Linked DNA regions of Drosophila melanogaster. The protein of the gene in region 1 interacts with the protein of each later gene in a pairwise test. Each region holds a gene or a part of one and is shown in the gene's direction. Other genes may lie near its edges. The genes, in order: Oxp and Gpxl.

Evidence for each region.
Region 2: the proteins of Oxp (region 1) and Gpxl interact in a two-hybrid assay, tested with the Drosophila melanogaster proteins (one large-scale study listed by BioGRID).

The regions. Positions count from the first base shown.
Region 1 is NT_033778.4:17,633,297-17,636,234, reverse strand, and holds Oxp (oxpecker), read left to right. Parts: upstream 1-2,067; 5' UTR 2,068-2,118; coding exon 2,119-2,373; 3' UTR 2,374-2,438; downstream 2,439-2,938. Other genes in the region: rhi (rhino), read left to right, coding at 2,759-2,938.
Region 2 is NT_033778.4:19,054,482-19,057,998, reverse strand, and holds Gpxl (glutathione peroxidase-like), read left to right. Parts: upstream 1-2,074; 5' UTR 2,075-2,085; coding exon 2,086-2,297; intron 2,298-2,350; coding exon 2,351-2,720; 3' UTR 2,721-2,768; downstream 2,769-3,517.

The DNA.
Region 1 (2,938 bases):
TTAAGTGATTTTTTTTAGGGGAAAAGCGTGTCATTGAACTTGGGAGAGTGTCACGTCAGCTTGACATAATATTTACACAATTACAACGGATCTCGATCTTCAAATTAATCAGCAACAAAGCAGGGCAACAAAGTTACAAAAGGCTGAAAAAGTCCAAACAAAACAAATTAAAACTAAATCTGTTGCATAAGACATCAATACACCACAACCTTTCTACTGCGCAATCCGAGACGGAATCTTTTTTGGGCCTTATGGAAACCAGCAAAAACCGAGAGACAAAAGCAGGGTTAATAAAATTAACTTGCTAATGAAGCGATGATCACACCGCATCATTTCTATGGGCCACATACATACATATGTTTGTATATACATATTTACACATGTACACATCTATATATGAATATTGACTTAAATCATTTCAGAGAAAAAATCAAGAAATACAACTTATTGAAATCGGCTAGCAACATTTTTGTATATAATGCAGAAGCATTTTTGTCGCGCGTGTTTCGGCCAAAAAGCAAGCAAACAGCAGAATGGGCAAACAAGTTTCGAGTTTCTTGGCGTTCGACTATGCAAATTAAACACTAAATACTAAAGATATACACATGTCTGCATGTCGCTTTGGATATTTTGTAATATTGCGATGAAAACGAAAGTGAATCCGCCGCTTGACTTTGAAAAGCGCTCGAACGAAAGCCCCAGAAAAGACCCTTCCAGCTGCCCTTGTTGTCGCCTTGCCGGTTTCACTTTTATTCCGCCATGTACCAAGTTGTTAACTCTATCGAATTAAAACAAATTCGCCGCCACTGCCGTTGTGCCGAAAGAAAGAAAGTGAAAGAAATGTACGAGTTTGTGCCCATGTGCACATGTGGCTAAGTTGCGGCACAAGTTTTGCGCTCGAAATCATAACAGTAATGGCAACAGGTTGGCTGACTCTTACAGTCCCACTTCTATAGCTCGAACTCCTCCAGTTGGATCTTCTGAAACATAAAAAAAAATCTTGTGAAATTGGAATTCATGTTTTTAATTTAGATATCAAACTTCAACATCTTCAATACAAGTCGATTGTTTGACATCAAAATGAAGAAGAAATTCAGCTTACTGAAGTAAGACTGTATTTCAAAACAGATTTTGAATCTTGTCCGAAACGGCGCGTAGTTTTTTGAATTGTCACACTGCCGTTACTTTTTCCAACTGGCCGAACGTGACGCATTTCTTTGGCTTCATTTCAATGAATAAAAATCTCTTCGCCAGATGCAGACTCTGTGGAAATAATTGCTAGTTTACATACTCTCATGTAAATTGGCATTTTCTGTGCGCCGTAATGATGGGAAACATGCCAATGACATTGTTGTCCAACGCGAGTCGAACATTATGGCTGTGGAAAGCGAATTTACATAGACAATGTGCGATTTTTGTGGCCTGAAAAGAAAAGCGCAGATTTTGCCAATGGTCAATTAAAATACATTCCCATTTCCACACAGTGCCCACCATTATTTCCGCTCAGGCAAACTGCACTCGACTTCGAAACAAGTTTTTGTTGATGTCTGGTTTAACCGAAACTAAAACCAAAACCAAAACAAAAACAGGTGCAACAACCGCCAGGCCAGCGGCATTTTATATAATGGTCAGTCTTAAAAAGGAGCAATTTCTCACATAGTTAATAGGCATTGCTAACATACTTTGGCTTGTCCACTGCTTTTTCAAAAACTGTTAACTTTCTGCAATTCCACTTAAATAAATAATTCTTCCTGTATCATTTGAAAATGAATCGATTGGCAGAACCGATTTCTTGAGAACGTGCTATCGATACAATTAGTTGTTTAGTGATCTTAACTTAACTCCTCGCTATCGGAAAATCTGGACAAATTATAAAATTTCTAAAACTAGAAATTATCCATGAGACGTTATGTAACATTTCATATTCTTGCAACAACATTCTTCACAATACTTTTATACTTAACAAGAAAATGTTCAAATAAAGTTTTTAGAGTAAGTCGATCTCCGATACATAATTGTGCACATCTTGAGTTTTCCCATCCCTTGTTGTCTTTCGAGCGAGCTGGCAGTGCTGACTCAGTATAACTGACTAACTAATCGCCTAACTTGCGCGCGATCATGTCCCAGAAATCCATCGATTTGGGCTTGGGTGTCCGAAACGTCAAGGAGAAATCTTCGGAATACATAGTGGAGAAGTTTCTAGGAAAGCGCTATCTGCGTGGACGCCCTCAGTATCTGACCAAGTGGGAGGGCTATCCCATAGAGCAGTGCACTTGGGAGCCCCTGGAGAACTTGGGCAAGTGCATGACGCTGATTGCGGATTACGAGGCCGAACTATTCCAGCAGAGCCGGGAGAAAAAGAATGACCAATGACAAAAAAAAGATTTTAATAAAAATTATTGCTTACAAATAAAAGCTTAATAGATCGTGTTCCCATTATTTAATGGCTTTTATTTTATTATACATATGTATATTTCAATAAAATATAACCAGGGCTGCAAAAACGTTGCTGAGAAGCGCCAGGCTTTTCATACGGTTATCATGTTAAGATTATTTGCGAGCTAATTTATTAAGCAGAGTCAAATAAATTAGCTTAATTTATTTGTTGCTTATTGAAGTCTTATAGTGAGTTATGCACATTAAAAAAATACCAAAAGCTTTCCCATCCCTAATAGTATTCCGAGTGGGTTAGCAGCACCTCCTTGCGCGTCGTTCCATTTACCGTTCTTTTGCTCGGCGTCCTGTGAGCGGATAAGTTATGTCTCGCAACCATCAGCGACCAAATCTTGGTCTGGTCGATGCACCGCCTAATGATCATGTCGAAGAATATGTAGTGGAGAAAATCTTAGGCAAACGGTTTGTTAATGGGCGTCCCCAGGTTCTGGTGAAGTGGAGCGGTTTTCCGAACGAGAACAACACCTGGGAACCATTGGAAAAC
Region 2 (3,517 bases), 1.4 Mb from region 1:
GGGTCCGAAACCTTTGCCGCAGTGCATCAACGCGGCGGGATTTGCACGCAGACACTGCAAAAAGGCTCCCAAGACGATCCACTATAATTGGTAGCGAAAATCACGCATCCGCCGTGTGGGTCAAGTGGTGCTAGGGGAACTGGTCTAGCAATTGCTTTGATCTCGGGCGGAAAATCGGTGAGTGCGACTTTTATTAAATGTTTCCCTTTCGATTTGTTTCGGCGGAAAAGACTCCGGCTTTGTAAACTTTCATTAGTTGCCTCGTTAATATTCCAATTGTTGACACACAAAGGCGAAAGGTGGTGGAGGGGATGGCTGGCTTAACCTGTGTATAAAGGAATTTAATTAATAACGTCCTTCGTCCTTTTGCGTGTGCAGCGCGGCGTAAACTTAATTAAATGCGCAAGTGGCAAGTAGCAAGTAGCTGGGGCCACAGTGGCAAATGACAAGTGGAGATGCAGGACCAGCAGACGCAACTGGAGAAGCTCAGGTGCAAAGGTTGAAGGTAACACCTGGCCCGGCTAGAAGTAAGAAAAAAAAACGTTAAGGAAACCCTCCTGCCCCACATGTCAAAAGTTTTATTGGCGCAAACGCTACTTTTATGGCTACTGTTAATAGTGAAAAATGGTGCAACAAAAGCCAGAATGATGGCAGATGCTTAGACAAAACCAGATGGAAATGGCAAACGGGGGGAGCGGCAAGTTCATCGAGTTGGTCATAAAACAACGAGTTGTGGCTCAGTGACTTTAACGCGCTTCCATCTTTACGAGTTTGGTGCGCCGGGTTTATAACCTGTAACTGGGGGCAAAGTTTATTAAGTTTATGCCAAGTGCATCAAATATGCAAAACCGCTATAGTTGATCATCTTGGATGCTCGATGGATTTGACTTCGAGTCTGACGGAGATGTCTTTTAGCATAATCGCTGGTTATTGCTATAAAACCGGTTGGCAATCATTCTATGCTGATTTTATGATAATCACAATTTCAGCTGTGATCTATTAAAGGTGCTTTCTTCTGTGAGTTAAGTTGGATATATTTTTCTAATGGGAAAAAATCGTTAAAGTAAATAGTCTTCTTGTTTTTGCATTTAATAATGCCATATAATTCTGTTTACATAGGTTTTAAAATATATCATGCCTTTTCCTTCTTAGCTTTATGAAAGTGTGACATATTTTTCTGCGTGTCAAAGAGTTTGAAAAGTGATTTGCAGCCAAACTATAAAATGCACTGGCATTTCGGACTGTTTTTAGTGCAGAAGCTTGACTGACGACCGTAAGAAGTTACGCCCATTCCACGCATTCTAAATCAATTTCAGTCGAACGCCTTTCGCCTGGCATTGATTTATGGCCCAAATCCAAACGTCGTCTAAGTGGAAAAGCCGAACCGAAAAGAGGCGCAACTTTACCGAATTATATTTCAATTTTGGCAGCGAAAATGAAACAGAAACAGAGCCATACCGAGTCCACAAAAGTGGGGCGTGGCTGGGGAAAAGATGTTAAGAACTTTTTGACAATTGACTTAAAAAGTTTCCTCAAGCTGGCAGAAATTGACTGCCTTTTGTATACAAATAGGCCGAAATCACCAAGCCCACACACACACACACACACACACATATGGACAGGGCAAACGGAAAAGCTGGAGAAAATGGTGCCGCGTCCATGAAGCGGAAGTAAACACATAAAACGGAAATGAAAATTCAATTATTTCGTTACGATTGTTCAACTTTTTGTTGTTGTTGTTTTCAGTGTGCATCTGTGTGTGTGTGTGTGTATGTGTGTTTTGTGCTCTCATTTCGTGTGGCAGGCAGAGGCCAAAAAAAGTTTAACATTAAGTTAACGTGCAACTCGCTTCGTGGGTCAGCATATGCAACTTTAGCTCTTTTTGGGCAAATTCAATTTTAGCTGCCACTTTTTTGGGGCATGTGTATGTGTGTGTGTGTGTCTGCACCGAAACGAAAGGGCCGCACATTTAAATGCGATTTTTAACAGTCGCTTCACGCACAATTAGCCTCTCGAATCGATTTTCACTTAAAGCGTTTTCCCAGCTTCACTTAGCGATCCCAAATGCAGTTAGCACGCTAGACGATGTTCGATAAAGAATTTCTTTTCCCAGGCCTTTTGGTTGCAGTGGCCTTGGTGGTAGTATTACAAACACGCAGCAGATTGCAACAGGATTTGCAGGATATGCGATGGCGTCTGACGATACACGCTCTCACCGTTCGAGATACGTTTGGGAATCCAGTGCAACTCGATACATTCGCCGGCCATGTGTTGCTTATCGTCAACATTGCCTCCAAGTAAGAATGATCCACAGAAAGTTCTTAATAACTTGGCCCACCCTTTACTTCAGATGCGGACTTACTTTATCTCAGTACAACGGTTTGCGCTATTTACTCGAGGAATATGAAGACCAGGGCTTGAGAATTTTAAACTTTCCCTGTAACCAGTTTGGGGGTCAAATGCCCGAGTCCGATGGCCAGGAAATGTTGGATCACCTGCGCAGGGAGGGAGCCAACATAGGACACCTCTTTGCCAAGATAGATGTAAAGGGAGCTCAGGCAGATCCGCTGTACAAGCTCCTAACGCGCCACCAGCATGATATCGAATGGAATTTTGTCAAGTTTCTGGTGGATCGAAAGGGAAACATCCACAAGAGATATGGCGCCGAACTGGAACCAGTTGCCCTGACCGATGACATAGAGCTGCTGCTCGGCAGATGAGTCCGAATAAATAACGCAACATACGCGTTTCTGCCCACTGGCTTCCATAACTGCGACAACTGTGACGCCTTATCATTGGGGATTACTGTTTCTGATGTTGGCATCACATGCCAAGCGATTTCTTTCTGACGGTCTTACCTGGTTTCGCCTGTCACCTTCCCGCTGACTTCTGTCAGTTGCAAATGGCCAGCGTGGAAAGGAGCGTGGAGAAGGTGATAGTGTTTGCTGGAGTGCTGACCTTTTGCTCTGCTGCACTTGTCACTCTGCTTTATCAAATTGCAGTTAACGTTGCAGCTTGGCGCACGTCACGTCAACCATCCGCCCCGTGTGACACAATCGAGTGGCGGTGCGGGGGCATTGAATGCCATTCGACCTCGGGCACAATACTTGCTTGAAAAGTTTGAAAGAGCCAAACATTGCATTGTGTACCAAAATTGTGTTAACTAAGCAATGTACATGAATTTCAATTTCCCTTGACTCGATTGAAATTGTTTCGAATTTTTAAAACTACCTAAAAATTATCGTGATGCTTGGAGTCTCACTATTCATCAAGAGAATACACATTTGTTATACTAAGGGGACTTTTGGATAACTTTTTTGAGTTTTACTTTTAATAACTTTTTAGAGCGGCTATGGAACAAATTAAATTATGACTTTGTTTCTCCACAAATATTAAAAAACCGCCAAAAATGTTTGTGTTTGTCTTGAAATGCTCAAAAATGTGCTAATGCTAAAGCTCTCGCATGGAATGCAGCTGGTCCAAGCTCTAAGCGAAATCCCTCCGGTCAGGACAACTT